3 linked regions of the Arabidopsis thaliana genome follow. The protein of the gene in region 1 interacts with the protein of each later gene in a pairwise test. Each region holds a gene or a part of one and is shown on either strand. Other genes may lie near its edges.

The links.
Region 2: the proteins of AT5G13400 (region 1) and PLDGAMMA3 interact in a protein complementation assay, tested with the Arabidopsis thaliana proteins (one large-scale study listed by BioGRID).
Region 3: the proteins of AT5G13400 (region 1) and AT5G67130 interact in a protein complementation assay, tested with the Arabidopsis thaliana proteins (one large-scale study listed by BioGRID).

What each region holds. Positions count from the first base shown.
Region 1 is NC_003076.8:4,296,137-4,300,886, reverse strand, and holds AT5G13400 (Major facilitator superfamily protein), read left to right. Parts: upstream 1-1,622; 5' UTR 1,623-1,807; coding exon 1,808-2,033; intron 2,034-2,120; coding exon 2,121-2,338; intron 2,339-2,515; coding exon 2,516-3,096; intron 3,097-3,183; coding exon 3,184-4,033; 3' UTR 4,034-4,199; downstream 4,200-4,750. Other genes in the region: AT5G13410 (FKBP-like peptidyl-prolyl cis-trans isomerase family protein), read left to right, coding at 62-112, 289-369, 460-504, 625-680, 807-882, 962-1,057; NEF1 (no exine formation 1), read right to left, coding at 4,315-4,750.
Region 2 is NC_003075.7:7,121,439-7,127,973, reverse strand, and holds PLDGAMMA3 (phospholipase D gamma 3), read left to right. Parts: upstream 1-1,656; 5' UTR 1,657-2,091; coding exon 2,092-3,075; intron 3,076-3,476; coding exon 3,477-3,593; intron 3,594-3,683; coding exon 3,684-3,878; intron 3,879-3,968; coding exon 3,969-4,217; intron 4,218-4,311; coding exon 4,312-4,380; intron 4,381-4,460; coding exon 4,461-4,608; intron 4,609-4,688; coding exon 4,689-4,837; intron 4,838-4,917; coding exon 4,918-5,115; intron 5,116-5,202; coding exon 5,203-5,400; intron 5,401-5,528; coding exon 5,529-5,822; 3' UTR 5,823-6,009; downstream 6,010-6,535. Other genes in the region: AT4G11845 (Interleukin-1 receptor-associated kinase 4 protein), read left to right, coding at 1-15, 342-450, 549-634, 838-923, 1,014-1,080. UniProt on the Arabidopsis thaliana protein: Hydrolyzes glycerol-phospholipids at the terminal phosphodiesteric bond to generate phosphatidic acids (PA).
Region 3 is NC_003076.8:26,789,385-26,794,413, reverse strand, and holds AT5G67130 (PLC-like phosphodiesterases superfamily protein), read right to left. Parts: upstream 3,116-5,029; 5' UTR 2,816-3,115; coding exon 2,711-2,815; intron 2,617-2,710; coding exon 2,494-2,616; intron 2,257-2,493; coding exon 2,119-2,256; intron 2,038-2,118; coding exon 1,939-2,037; intron 1,847-1,938; coding exon 1,543-1,846; intron 1,457-1,542; coding exon 1,233-1,456; intron 1,161-1,232; coding exon 1,074-1,160; intron 966-1,073; coding exon 765-965; 3' UTR 532-764; downstream 1-531. Other genes in the region: AT5G67140 (F-box/RNI-like superfamily protein), read left to right, coding at 12-110, 190-405; AT5G67120 (RING/U-box superfamily protein), read left to right, coding at 4,677-4,874, 4,952-5,029.

The sequences.
Region 1 (4,750 bases):
TATATCTAATATAGTTTAGACTATGCGGTGATCATTAACTTGAAGATTTGAGATGCTGCAGGATTTGCGAGTAGGAACTGGGCCTATAGCAAAAAAGGGAGACAAAGTTGTGGTAAGGAAATTTCTGCATATCTATGGTTTTGTATCCTTGGTCTCAAGTTTATCTAGAAGTTTGCTCTGGTTAGAGAGTTTGGAGTTTGCTTTGCTTGTATCTATGTTAGCAAATTAATGTTTCAAAGACCATAGGTTTTGCTAGTAGTTATAAATAATTGAAGCTGGGTATGTTAGGTTGACTGGGACGGTTACACAATAGGGTACTATGGACGCATATTTGAAGCTCGCAATAAAACAAAAGGGGGTTCTTTTGAGGTATAAACACGTTTTGGCTCTTTTTTTTTTTGTTTCATTAGCTACAATGATACAGTCCTTAATCTTTGTTTTCTTTTTGTGAATCTGTAGGGCGATGATAAGGAATTTTTCAAATTTACCTTAGGATCCAATGAGGTGGGCGAAATTCCAAGTCCTTCTAGTTGCTATATGGGTTTTACCGGTTTAAAGAATGGATTTTGTTACTGATTGTATGAATTGTTTCTTTCTGGATGCTGCATGATTTTGGTGTTCCAGGTGATACCTGCTTTTGAGGAGGCTGTCTCTGGGATGGCTCTCGGTGGTATCAGAAGGTTCAACATCTTTCTAATATTTCTAACTCTACACATCCTCCATATGTTTTTCATATAGAACTCACTCTTCACACAAATGGTAGACGGTAGAATGAATCAGTGTAAATAATTAGCTTGGTATTGCAGGATAATTGTACCGCCAGAACTAGGATACCCGGATAATGACTACAACAAGAGTGGGCCGAGGCCGATGACTTTCTCTGTGAGCCTTATGTTTGTTTTATGTAAACATGTATAAGAAAGACATAAGTTTTAAATGTTGTCTCTTTATGTTTGCGCAGGGACAACGTGCATTAGATTTTGTGCTGAGGAACCAAGGGCTCATAGACAAGACACTTCTCTTTGATGTTGAACTCCTCAAAATTGTACCCAATTGATGTAACATCGACAGTCTTAACTCACGTACATATATATTTATTTATGATGTGTATACTACATTGGCACATTTGTGTAAATTGAGCTCAGTTTATATCATATAATGTTAGCTCTTTTTAGGAGTGTTAAAAAAAAAAATAGCCATGCATCACCAACTAACTGTTCATCATGTTAATTCTGCTTCCTCTTTTTAGTTATATTATCCCTTATAGTGAGGTAAGTTATTATAACATTTCATAGAAAGTTTAGAATAAAATGAAATGTGAACACAAAAACCAGTGTAAGCAGCTTCTGTTGTTTTGACTTTATTGAGTAGCCAATGTTGGTTCAATGTCAGAGTCATCATTAATGGAGACTGCAAAAATAAAAGAACAAGTTGCAGTGACGCATTGTAGAAGTCCTTCAATGAGTTTATGTCTTTCAAGGACAAAACATATCAAATGAATCCACATTTCTCTAAATAAGTCCTTTCTTGAACGTTGAAACTGTGGACATCATGGGAGTCCACGTGCAATAAATGCCAGTCCTATATCTACCACTTACCAGCTAAGCTCCGTCTATTTAATTCCATCTTCCCATTTTAAGCTACTGCATTTATACATTTCTCTAACCAATCCTCATACATCCTTTTCTGCTTACAGATTTTGTTTGGCTGGATTAATTATTTCATTTATTAACTTAAGCTCTCTTGCTGTTTTTGGTCACTCTGATGCTTTCAGTTTCCATGGTTTTATGAGAAAATATCATTGATTATGGTTGCTTCTGAGATTAAATCCCCGGTGAGTGTCCCCGAGACTCCGGGAAGCTCCTCTGTGCATCATAGGAAGCAGTTGAGTGTGTTCTTCATAGAATCAGATAACAGACGTCTTGCTCTTGGCCGTGGCTATACCGGAGGAACCACTCCCGTTAACATCCATGGCAAACCCATCGCCAATCTTTCCAAAACCGGTGGTTGGATCGCAGCTTTCTTCATTTTTGGTAACTTTCTTTTCACTTACATCTAGATTATCAGTAGTTCTACGTGCAGTGCAGCTTAGTTTTGGTGGAATGGTTGCAATGTTTTAGGAAATGAAATGGCAGAGAGAATGGCGTATTTCGGACTCTCGGTGAACATGGTGGCGTTCATGTTCTACGTAATGCATAGGCCTTTTGAAAGTTCATCAAACGCAGTCAACAACTTCCTTGGCATCTCTCAAGCCTCCTCTGTTCTTGGAGGCTTCTTAGCCGACGCTTACTTGGGTCGATACTGGACTATTGCCATCTTCACTACCATGTATCTTGTCGTAAGTAGTACTGTTTTGTTCTCTGTATTTTGTTTATTTATTTATTTATGACTTATGGTTAAGGTCTTGTGCAAATGGTGCAATTTGAAGAACATCGTCTAATACGCAAGACCGAACATATGTTATGTGATGGATACTTTGAAATCTTTTCTTTTCTTTTGTTTTGCATGTGAAAAGGGTTTGATAGGAATAACATTGGGGGCAAGTTTGAAGATGTTCGTACCAGACCAGAGCAACTGTGGCCAGTTATCATTGCTCTTAGGAAATTGTGAAGAAGCCAAATCTTGGCAAATGCTTTATCTCTACACGGTTCTCTACATAACCGGATTCGGAGCTGCTGGTATAAGGCCATGTGTTTCCTCATTTGGTGCTGACCAGTTTGATGAGAAGAGCAAAGACTACAAGACACATTTAGACCGTTTCTTCAACTTCTTCTATCTATCGGTCACTTTAGGCGCAATCATTGCCTTCACTTTGGTGGTATATGTTCAAATGGAACTTGGTTGGGGTATGGCTTTTGGCACATTGGCCGTAGCCATGGGGATTTCTAATGCTTTGTTCTTTGCTGGTACACCGCTTTATCGGCATAGGTTGCCTGGTGGTAGTCCCTTGACTAGGGTAGCTCAGGTCTTAGTTGCCGCTTTCCGCAAACGAAATGCAGCTTTCACAAGCAGTGAGTTCATCGGTCTTTACGAAGTTCCTGGCTTGAAATCTGCTATTAATGGCAGTCGTAAAATCCCTCATTCCAATGATTTCATGTAAGGCTTCTTCTTTTGTGTACATCTTCCTATAAGGAAAATAAAACTTAATACTAGTATTTATCAGTCGAATGAATTCATATGCAGATGGCTAGACAAGGCGGCACTTGAGTTGAAAGAAGATGGATTGGAACCATCTCCATGGAAGCTATGCACAGTAACACAAGTAGAGGAAGTGAAGATTCTGATCAGATTGATTCCAATCCCAACATGCACTATAATGCTGAGTCTGGTCTTGACTGAGTATCTTACACTCTCAGTGCAACAAGCTTACACACTCAACACACACATTCAACACCTCAAGCTTCCAGTGACCTGCATGCCAGTTTTCCCAGGCCTAAGCATTTTCCTCATTCTCTCCCTTTATTACTCTGTCTTCGTCCCTATCACCAGAAGAATCACTGGCAATCCTCATGGTGCTTCCCAGCTTCAAAGAGTGGGCATAGGGCTAGCAGTTTCAATCATATCAGTAGCTTGGGCTGGGCTATTCGAGAACTACAGGAGACATTACGCGATACAAAATGGTTTTGAGTTCAACTTCTTGACCCAAATGCCTGATCTAACCGCGTACTGGTTGTTAATCCAGTACTGTCTCATCGGAATCGCAGAGGTTTTCTGCATAGTAGGGCTATTGGAGTTCCTTTACGAGGAAGCTCCGGATGCTATGAAGAGTATTGGTTCGGCTTACGCTGCTCTAGCCGGCGGGTTAGGGTGTTTTGCTGCCACCATTTTGAACAATATTGTCAAGGCTGCGACTCGGGACTCAGATGGGAAATCGTGGTTATCGCAGAACATAAACACGGGGAGATTCGACTGCTTGTACTGGTTGCTCACACTTCTGAGCTTTTTGAATTTCTGTGTGTTCCTTTGGTCAGCGCATAGGTACAAGTACCGAGCTATCGAGTCTGAGGAAGACAAGAGTAGTGCTGTTCTTTAAAGACACCACTTCTGTGTTCTCTTCTCGTTATTCTTTTTGATAAAACAGCAGTAATTGTATCATCCTACTTTGCTTTCCTATAGCTAATGTTTAAGGGTGGAAAATCCGCTAAACGTGATTGTTCGTTTGTAAGAAGACCAATAAAATTAAGTTGTTCAAACGTCGTATATTGGCAATTTCCAATGCATCCACTGAGAAACAAAGCTGGGAAATGAAAACACTGTTTCACAAATTCTGTTACAAAAAGGGTCGAAAACATTACTAATCAATCCTACGACTGTCTAAATATACCTCAGCCCTTTCATATATTGTTGCCTAGATATCACATACTGAGCCGCAGAGTAAACAATGCCTAAAACTCCCAGAACCCTAACTTGAAACACGTCTGTTATTATTACGGCTGCAAAGCTAAGTGGCACGGTCAGCATCGGCGACGCGTCTGTGTGTTTGGTGGTGTAACTCCAAACGTACCTGTTGAATATGATGTGACCTGGTGCTGTGAGTATTAGGAGAGCCAGGTTCTTCACCGCAAAAAACCATTCACGGCCTCCAATTTCGACTCCCCAACCTGTGTTTCCACCAAACCAAACTTCTTCCCATACAGTGTAGAGCGAGGATAATGCCAAATATGTTGATATGGCTACTGTAACCGGGAAGTATCTCTGTTTATCACCAAACCCGGATAAGAGATCAGAGTCTTGGTTCAGGAGAAGTAAG
Region 2 (6,535 bases), on another chromosome or scaffold:
AATCTATTTCCCATGGTACGTATCTCTCTGTTTTCATTTTTTTCAGTTCCTTTTAGCCGAGATTGATGATTGGAATTGAAACCATCAAATTTCGAAACTGGGTTTTCTTAGATCTTGTCAATTGGAATTAATTTTAGTGAGTCTGGTAGTTAACGATAGATTTGGGTGATGGTTTGTGTTTGAACGTTCTCCTTTTCCTGCTTAAGCATGAACCTTACTTAATCAAGCTCTGTAATGCTGGCATTTATTTTGGTGAATATATTGATTCAATGTTTCTTTATCTCTCTGAGTGATCTGTATTTGAAGTCGTAAAATTTTGTTTATCTTTCATCGGTTTTTAGGATGGGAATCCCAGGTTGTCTTGCTTTGGACTCATGAAAAGTAGCAGAGATGGGAAGAGTTATATAGCACTAACTTGGCATTTACTCCTACAGAGAAATTTGCTAACGGGTAAAACTCTCTCTGCTTCATGTTTATATATGTCCAAAATATTTCAGGGCACAAAGTTCCCAAAGCTAAATCCACTTTCTTCATCTTGTGTCAGGTAGAGTTACACCAGAGAGTGTATTATGTTTTCAGTTTTGGAACCGTTTTGCTCGATCTCATTAGTGGAAAACATATTCCACCGAGCCATGTAAGTTCTCTACTAATAGAAGATATATAAACTTTAGATGTAATGTAGGACCTGGCTCTTTGTTTCTTGCTGGATAGTTCTTGGAAGGAATCTCTAGTTCAGTCCTTACTAAAATCTAAATGATGATCATCATCGTTTTTCCTGCCTCATTCTTTCTCAGACATCCTTTGGTGATGATGCATGCTTAAGAGTGAATCTTACAGCCATACAGGAAATACTGCTTAAGAATGGATCTTACAGCCATACAGGAAATACTTAGTAAGATTGGATACAAGGAATTGCCATTGAGGTGTTAATCTATTCCTTCCTCTCGCTTACTACTTAGTCTTTTGCATTAGGGACTTGTTTTGAATATGATTTTATTTACCTTCTTCTGCAGCTCTCGTTTCAAATGTGGACAACCCAGATGCAGGAATCTCTCTTTTCAAAGAAGCAAGGGGACTTAGCTTTCCGATCCAAAGATTTTACAACCGCAATCGATTGCTACACTCAGGTAATATCTCTAAATGCAACATACCTCTTTAATTACATGCCAAGAGCCATCATAGGGCTAGACATTCAGTCATCATAGGGCTACACATAACTGGAATGATTCATGGGCCGAAAAGGATGAAAAAAGTTTGTATGGTTCCTTGTATTGAAAGACATCTAAATACAAAAATTTGATTTTTGTCCCTTATGAACCTTAACCATTGGAGGACTATTTTTATAAGATACTCTCATTTTGTTCTTAGCTTAGAAATAACAAAACTTTAATAGAAATAATTGTTAAGATCCAAGGTTAACCATTAGAGATGCTCTTAGTTTACATGTCTAATCTGGGATCCAAAAAGACATAGTAGCAAAAAAAAAATTTAAAGCTTGTAACTGATTTCATTTAAAGAAAATTTCATGCTTTATTTATTAATTACACTACTATATGATTTAATTTAATAATTATGTCAATCAAATTGAAGTTACATCAAAAGAGGGACCAGAGAGAAAGAGTTTCGTGAGCAGCTAAAAACCAAAGTGGGGAAGTCTTCTTTCTTAGTCGTCGTTACTAAAACACAAATAGTTTATTTGGCATTTGTGTTTAAGTAAAGATGAAACATCTTATATATGTGTCATTAATGGCTAAAGTTAGACGATTCCACAACGGCAGCCAAAAATCCTTGAAATTTTCCGATTCTTCCGTTTCAAGTCAACGTTTTCCTTCGCTCCCTCTCACCTTCTTCTTCACAAAAACCTGAACTTTAATTTGAATTTGCCCATATTTTTAGATCCACATTTATTCATTGATTTGCTCTGAGTTTGTATTATCTCAAAGTTTTATCCTTTTGTTGAATCTTGATCTCTCGATTATTCCCCACCAAGCACCAAGTGATCGATCTTTTGTCTCACTGAACTGGGTTATGCTTGAGATTTGATCTGACAACTAAGAGTTTCCTACTTTTGCGTTTTGAGTTTTGTTTTTCATGGCGTATCATCCAGTTTATAACGAGACTATGTCTATGGGAGGAGGGTCAAGCAACGAGTTTGGCCAGTGGCTTGACAAGCAACTCGTGCCGTTTGATACAAGTAGTGGCTCTTTGAGGGTTGAATTATTACATGGTAACTTAGACATTTGGGTTAAGGAAGCTAAACATCTTCCTAACATGGATGGTTTCCATAACACCCTTGTTGGTGGGATGTTTTTTGGGTTAGGTCGGAGGAATCATAAAGTGGATGGTGAGAATTCTTCTAAGATCACAAGTGATCCTTATGTTACTGTCTCTATCTCTGGTGCTGTGATTGGTAGAACTTTTGTTATTAGCAATAGTGAGAATCCTGTGTGGATGCAGCATTTTGATGTACCAGTTGCTCATAGTGCTGCGAAAGTTCACTTTGTTGTGAAAGACAGTGATATTATTGGATCACAGATCATTGGAGCTGTTGAAATCCCAACCGAGCAGTTGTGTTCCGGGAATAGAATCGAAGGGCTGTTTCCGATACTTAACAGTAGAGGAAAGCCTTGTAAACAAGGTGCTGTGTTGAGTCTGTCTATTCAGTATATTCCAATGGAAAGAATGAGACTTTACCAAAAGGGTGTTGGTTTTGGTGTTGAATGTGTAGGAGTTCCCGGTACATACTTCCCTTTAAGGAAAGGCGGTAGGGTTACTCTTTATCAGGATGCTCATGTTGATGACGGTACTCTTCCGAGTGTACATCTTGATGGTGGGATTCAGTATAGACATGGAAAATGCTGGGAAGATATGGCTGATGCGATACGACGGGCAAGGAGGTTGATTTATATCACAGGTTGGTCAGTTTTCCATCCGGTTAGGCTGGTTCGTCGTAACAATGATCCGACCCAAGGTACATTAGGAGAGTTGCTTAAAGTCAAATCTCAAGAAGGTGTTAGAGTGTTGGTTTTGGTGTGGGATGATCCAACTTCAAGGAGTCTTTTGGGATTCAGTACAGTAAGAATCTACATAACTCTGTTTTTTTCTGATTAAGACATTCTATTATTGCTTACCCATAAAATCAAACATGTATATATATATATATATAATTTTATGGAGTGCCTCTCTGTTTTGTTTCTCCATTTTGATTTATAGCTTATCACTTAAATAATTCTATGGAGTGCCTCTCTGTTTGTACACAGTTTTGAATGGTCTAATGTGTTGTTCTTAACTTCTCACATAGTCACATATTTGGTTGTTTCAGTTGCATTTCATACTTTCCTCTATTGTTTCAGTTCTGACCCTTTTTCTGTTTATCTTATTGGAAAGCATGAGTTTGCTTCAATTAGATAATTATACTAACTTAGCTACAATCCTTCTATCTATTTAATTAAAAGCTGGTGTTTTGTTGCATGTAGAAAGGACTTATGAACACAAGCGATGAGGAGACTCGCCGTTTTTTCAAGCACTCATCGGTGCAAGTTCTCCTTTGTCCTAGATATGGAGGGAAAGGTCACAGCTTCATAAAAAAATCTGTAAGATGCTCATTAGTTACTTCATTACTGTGTAAACTCTTGTGTGTATAGCTTCAGCGTCTAAAATTTGAGTGTCATTATGATGATCAGGAAGTTGAAACAATCTACACGCATCATCAGAAAACTATGATTGTAGATGCTGAAGCAGCTCAGAACCGAAGAAAGATTGTAGCATTTGTTGGAGGGCTAGACTTGTGCAACGGACGATTTGATACTCCCAAGCATCCTCTCTTCAGGACATTAAAGACAATCCATAAAGATGACTTCCATAACCCAAATTTTGTGGTAATCATTTAAGAAAAAACCTGCTTGGTTGCAATTTTGGAATTAGAATCCGCTATTCTTGATCCATGTAAATTCTGTTTTTCTTATTAGACTACTGCGGATGATGGACCAAGAGAACCATGGCATGATCTGCACAGCAAGATTGATGGTCCAGCTGCATATGATGTGCTTGCTAATTTTGAGGAACGCTGGATGAAGGCTTCAAAACCTCGCGGAATTGGGAGACTAAGAACTTCTTCTGATGATTCTTTGCTTAGGTTAGACAGAATTCCTGACATAATGGGACTTTCCGAAGCTTCTTCTGCTAATGATAATGATCCAGAGTCTTGGCATGTTCAGGTAATTTAGCAAGTCTAATTTTTTTGCTAGTTATTGTTATTTGTGGTGGTGACAAAAAGAATCTCATTTTTTCTCCAATGATATTAATCTTTAGGTTTTCCGTTCAATTGATTCGAGTTCAGTTAAAGGGTTTCCAAAGGACCCAAAGGAAGCTACTGGAAGAGTAAGATAGCACCACAACTCTGAGCTGTTTTTGTTTGTCATCATGTTGCTATCTCCGACTGATTATGTATTCATGAACAGAACCTTCTATGTGGGAAGAACATTCTCATAGATATGAGCATACATGCAGCTTATGTTAAAGCCATACGATCTGCTCAGCACTTCATTTACATTGAAAACCAATATTTTCTTGGATCATCATTCAATTGGGATTCAAACAAGAACTTGGGTAAGAAACTTTAAAGCTTTTGAAGGAAAGCTTAGTAATCGATGCGTACAATATGTAAACAAGGAGTTTTGGCATTGCAGGTGCGAATAATCTAATCCCGATGGAAATCGCGCTGAAGATTGCTAACAAAATTAGAGCAAGGGAAAAGTTTGCTGCTTATATTGTCATTCCAATGTGGCCAGAAGGTGCTCCAACAAGTAATCCTATTCAAAGAATTCTCTACTGGCAGGTAAAATAATTTTTTGATTCTTTGCTAAAAACAACCCGATCTCACCTTCTTTTTACCGGAATTTTTCACAACCTCTGCAGCACAAAACCATGCAAATGATGTATCAAACCATCTACAAGGCACTTGTGGAAGTTGGTCTTGATGGCCAGCTTGAGCCACAAGACTTTTTGAACTTTTTCTGTCTTGGAACCAGAGAGGTTGGAACCAGAGAGGTTCCTGATGGAACTGTTAGCGTATATAATAGTCCTCGGAAGCCACCTCAGCTAAATGCTGCACAGGTATACATATATTAAATGTCTTCTTTTGAAATCTTCGATTTTGCCTTAATGGGTTCGCTTACTGATTAAAACGACAAACCAATCTAGGTACAAGCTTTGAAGAGTCGGAGATTCATGATATATGTTCATTCCAAAGGTATGGTAGTGGATGATGAGTTTGTCTTAATTGGTTCCGCGAATATCAACCAGAGATCCTTGGAAGGAACTAGAGACACTGAAATCGCTATGGGAGGGTATCAGCCACACCATTCATGGGCTAAGAAAGGTTCTCGTCCTCGTGGTCAGGTAAATAAGACTTTCAGAGACTTCTACTTCTCAATCTAGGATAGCATTCTAAGACGAAAATCTAGAAACCCACCAATGTATGTTCTCTTTAACATGTCTGAACCCTGGTTTGTCTCAATTTCTTGCAGATCTTTGGATATAGAATGTCGTTATGGGCAGAACATCTAGGGTTTCTAGAGCAAGAATTCGAGGAACCAGAGAACATGGAATGCGTGAGACGAGTTAGGCAATTGAGTGAGCTGAATTGGAGACAATATGCAGCGGAAGAAGTCACAGAGATGCCAGGTCATCTTCTTAAGTATCCAGTTCAAGTTGATAGAACAGGCAAAGTGAGTTCTCTTCCTGGATACGAGACATTCCCAGATCTCGGTGGCAAGATCATAGGATCGTTCCTTGTAGTAGAAGAAAACCTCACCATATGAAACTTACCTTGTAGGCTTGTAGTGATCAACATTTGTTCTTTATTTCCTTCACTTCAAGAAATCTATCTGAGTGTGATCTGATTGAAAGTGTGCCTTTAGGGTCTAGTTTTTCAAATTTATGAGCTGTAAATCTATTTATTACAATATTTCAATTGATCTATCAAAGTGTGTGTTGTGGATTTTTACTATATGATTTAATTTAGTAATGTTGTCATATCTTTAGTACTATATGATTACAATATCACATTGGCTTGTAGAAAATGAAAAATGTCATCCTGAAAGAGCTTTTGCCAAATCATTCATAAGATCATGCATCACAAAGCTTGTCATGGTGATATCCAATCTCTGAAAAAAAGATTTGAGCAAACTAAATCACCAAGGTAATTTTTCCAATCTTGTGCTGCTCCTTGGTTGGTATAAGAGGTCTATTGCCATCCATAGCAGCAGTAATTGAGCAGAGGGCAAAGCATCGCTTAAGTTGAGGAGGAAGAGAGTCATAGCTTGGTTTAAGTACTGGAAGGATACTGTTAGTGTAGCTTGAGAAATTCTTTGATGCAATGGCTCGTTCAAGACCTTACACTGTTCTGCAATCCTTTTCCCAATTCCTTCTAGTTCTTGGTTGATTATATTTCCAAAAGGAAATCTAGAGATCAGCTCCCAACATTCTTCATTTGGTAGATTTTTTCATCCTTTGCTACTGTGGAGACAATTTC
Region 3 (5,029 bases), about 22 Mb from region 1:
TGATTTGACAGATTTCAAGAACTTCCTCACTGCAACACCTAAACATAGGAGGAACATTTATAACCGATGAGTCTCTTTTCGCAATTGCAGAACGCTGCCATCAGCTTAAGGTAACAACAATCATCTAACCAAATAATTCTCTCTAGATTCATGAGAATCACGCTTTCGAAATTGGAATCCTTTATGCAGACAATCGGAATGTGGTGTTGCCGTCATGTGACAGAGAGAGGCCTTCTTGTTCTTGTAAACAAATGCAGAAAACTCGAATCCATCAACTTATGGGGAACTAGAGTTCCTGTAGATTGCTTCATTGCTTTACTTACCATCAGTCCTGCTCTTCAGATCAAACCCATGGAATTGCTTCTCAATGCTCAGAATCCACCACCGTTGCTGCATGCTGTCTAGTGTTGCTCATCATATTTCTTGTTTGTTGTGTACATAGTAATTCATACAATTGAATCTGCATATATCTTATGTGTTCTCTCATCAATCAACAACATATATATATAAATATTCAGTAAAGTTTCTATTGGAGTAGAATTGTGTCTATATATATATATATATAAGTTGCATAACAATCAACAGAAGCTGAAGACACACATACACAAGATTTCTGCCTATAGCTCTGCAGTCTACAATACAAGAATCAAATCAGAAACTCTTTCTAAGGCAATTCATGTCAACTTAGGCTCTCTCATTCGTTCTAAAGAAGTGATCAAGATTCTCTAACCTAAGAATCTCTCCACGTGGTTTGATTGGTTGTGTCATAGTAGAAATATCAGCAACGGAAGCAATGAGAAGCAGAAGACAACAATGTTGTTTAGTTGGGCCACAGAAGCTAAAGATCTTGAGAACTGAACTGAACCTGAGTAGCTTCCACCTGAGTTGCTTCCAGCCGTTGAATCCATGCTTGGAGTTCTTGTCTGTACAGTAACATTTTTGCATGAACCATAAGCTGCTCCTGGCTGCAACATCAAGAACCAAAATACGGGTGCCGGTTTTAGATAATTTAGGCTTGTAAGATCTTATTTCATACCCATAAGTAACTTTGGCGCGAGTTAATAAGTTAATACCTGGCAAGCAGAAAGAGTTTCACAACCGCAAAGTACCGGTCCATTCATTCTATCCAGAATTTCGAAAACGCCGCCTCCATCACTTCTCTGCAATATTATGGTTTGTTAGCTAGATCTCGTAAAAACAGTCATATTATAGTTATATGATTGATTCAGTACCATGTAGAAGTTAACAGCAAGAAAGTTTGGCATTCTATTCCCTCCTGACTTGAGACAAGTCCCAACCATCTCAGCAAGTGGAGCTGAGTGCTCCTTGCAAGCGTCTTTCTCAACCGGATATGTCGGGAAGTAATTCATCAAGAATAGCGAAGAACTTTTTGAATTTAAAGGTTGAGACTCTTTTCTGTTAGGACAAGAACCTCGCTTCACTCCGGGATCCCCAGCTTTAGACAATCATAAGAAAATGGCAAGAGAAGGTTATTCTCAGAGACAATTTTCATTAAAGATATAAACTGTGTGTAATACGCACATTCATTTTCAACCATGTATCTCCACTGATACGCAACGCCTTCTTCATCTTCTTTGGCAGCAACAGAAGTGAAAACCAGGAGCCTATGATTCTCTTGCACCATGTCAGTCACAGTAGGCCAATCTTCTCCCTTTCTAGGCATTTTCGAAACAGGGAACCAGTATTTGTCCAAACCAGCGTTGGCAAACAGTGTTGATAAGCCTTTAGGTCTGTGCACATAATCCTCTATTATGATGGTAACAATCTCTGTTGGGTTTTGACTCAGAAATGCCTCAACTTCCCTCAGTATGTTAATTGCAGGTTGCTGATTCAAAAAGAAAACAAAGTTCACATTTACCAATCCAATCAGGTTTCAAGCTTTCGATCCAGCAAGGTTAAGCTGAAGATAAAACTTACAAAAGCGGTGAAGTTGAAACATTGCCCTCGAAGCGAATGGCAAAGCCAGATATCATTGTTGAAGTCATACATATCCAGCATTAGCCCTCTAACTCCATTCTAGAACAAAAATATACATTCAAGAGTTTTATCCAAAAAAAGAGGAAACTATAATAAGAGAGTTGGTAATAAGAGCATTACTTGTAGCTGATTAGTAATAGTATCTTCTTGATTGTAAAATGTAATCCTCTCAACACCTGGCAAAAGTGGTGCATTTGCATTGCTAAAGGCATTATGAGTCATCAACCATGTATACTTGTTAAAAGGCAATCCATTGATCTACAAAAAACACACACACAAATTTCATCACCACATCTTCAAAGTTCAAAACTTTTGATACAACCAAATGATCTAGACTATCTTTTAATGCAACCAAATGAAATCTTCAGCAAAACCCATCTTCAAAGTTCAAAACTTTTGATAGACCAAGTGATCTAGACTATCTTTTGAAACAACGCATCTTCAAAAATTGGAAACTCTAGAGAAATCCAACTAATTATAGGAACTAAATCTCACAATGGAAGTTGGACTTGTGGCTTGGCCTCTTGTGCAGACGGGTTTACTTCTTCCAACGGCAGGACAGTCTCCACAGTATAAACCAGAGACACAATCAGTAGCCGAGGAGCATGAATCCAGCAGCTGAAAGAGACACAAAAATGCAAAATCCCTAAAGATTTAGACCCAAATTTGATAGCCATAAACCAGAGAATAATAAGCAAAGAGAATCAAGAACCTGGCAATTTCCATTGGAGCAAGCTGAGGAAAAAGAGAAAGAAAGAAGAAGAAGAAGAAGAGAGACAGTCACGGCTCTGCATAAGCCATTGATGCACGCCGACATCGCTCCGTAGCTTATGCAGAGATAGAGAGAGAGATATGAATGATGTTGGATCTACTTGGGGGGGTTTTCAAAGACGAGACAAAGAGATGTTTAGGTACTAAAACCCGGGCTTCATCGATTTGTTTTGTTAATCCTTGAAAGAGAGGTACAAAAGAAAAAGATTAGCTTTGGTTTTCTTTTTCTAAGACAAGGTTGAATCTTTTTCCCACCTAGCTCCTAGAGAGAAAATGAAGAAACGATTAGTAAAGAAGATAAACCACCTTTCAAAAGGAGTTCAATTTTGAGCATAATACAGTTTAACATTATAATAACATAACTCAAAACTACAGTTTCTAGTCTTGTACACCAAACATATGGAGTGACATTTTTGTCAAGATTTATGGAAACAGTGATCTTGTAAGAGTTTATCAATATAAGTAATAATGGTTTTATATTATTTCTTCTAGTTGTTAGGTGAGGTCTATCATAAAAAAAAAAAAAATTATTTCACAGATCACTATTTTCATTCTCTAAAATTTGCTCAGTTATAAGATTTTTTCACCTATTATTAGATGAAGATATCTTTTTTCTATTATGGTTAACGGTGCTCACATGCGTGGGGACACTCTTGTCTTGTTGCTTGTCTCTTTGCTTCTTTCAATGAAAAATGTTACAATTTTCATCATCTTACAAAAATTACTCAAACATCTAGGTGAAATTTTATTCTTAACGAGATTTATCATACCATGCCTATTTCATCTGCAGATTCGTCAGCAAGTGACGTATCGAATTAGTGACACTCTTAACGATCAAATGATTAATTTCCATTAAACCAAAAAAAAAAATGATTGATTTCCATAACCGATTTATTCACAATTGGTGATTTAACACACAAGTTGCTGTAATATACTCTTGATGTGTTTTTAACTTGAGATTTTTTTTTTAATACACAAAAAAAAAAAAAAACTTTTGTAGTTTGGACATTTACGTCCATTGAGTATGACGTCGTCGTCGTGTAAATTCTCTCTCTGCCTCTCGCTATAACGCTAGGCCCATTTACGTATTTTACTGAGCCTTTTTAGTTGGACCCAAACTCTCTCTTTTTAAGCCCATGACCCAAGTAATGTAATTAATCATCTTGTGAACTTGTAAATGAGGAAAACAAGATGCATATCTCCGGTTTAAAAAGCGTTTTAATGACGTTGAAAGCAAATATACAAAGCCAAAACATAAAATTTCCTTCCTTTTTTTGTTGAAAGCAACATTTATTATTTTTTGTACTTATTCACTCTAAAATGATATTTTTCCATTGAAGAAAATTCAATAAAGAAATGTTTTTCTATAAAAAACCAATTCAACTGTATTAGAGCTATAATTAAAACAGAATCCTTATTTTCAATAAAATAAATCTTCCGAATCCAGCTAAAGTTCCATTTTTATTAGCTGTCACAATTTTTTTAATTGAATTTTTAACATTTTGGGACTTCAAACTACCCAACAATTGTAAATCAGTGGTCTTTTTCTCCTTGAACTTTTTTTTGGTATAAACCTTTTTTCCTTAAAGTTGCTAAATCCTTTTATCCATGGAGGCACTGAAAAGTGGGTTATATGCATTATTTATCGTTTAAGCCTTAATTTGGTATATATATTTTTCCTTTAACTGAGCTACAATATATTTAGTGGTTTTTCTTTGTTCATAACGTCTTTATTTTTTCTATTACTTTATCAATATTAAGACTATCCTGTCCACTCAAGTATTTGCATTTGAATGGAAGAGTTAAATGGTGATGATACTTGAAAGTGTTAATTATCTATATAAATTCAGCTTAATCTAGCCCCTTGAAAAAAAATTTTGAGTCAGGTAATATGTTTCTCCAAAAGTATGGATCCAAACGAAGACAATTCTGAGATACCGGATAGTCCTTTTAGCTTCATGTGGCTACTATTTGGAGACGACTGGGATCTATGGGACACTTACTCACCAGTTGATGCTGATGACATCTCACCAGATCCAACGCTTGATGTGAACGGTGATGGTCCGGCAATAGAGCCCGGTTCCCTTCTGAGGACAATTAGTTGGGTAATTATCTATTATCTAATGTTTTTTTTAAGAGAAATAATTTATTTGGATATAATATAGACATGAAAATTGTTTAGGAAACAACGTTCGAGCAGGACTCGTTACAATCATGGAACGATGAACAATCTGAAACAACATCAGTAGTAGAGTATACA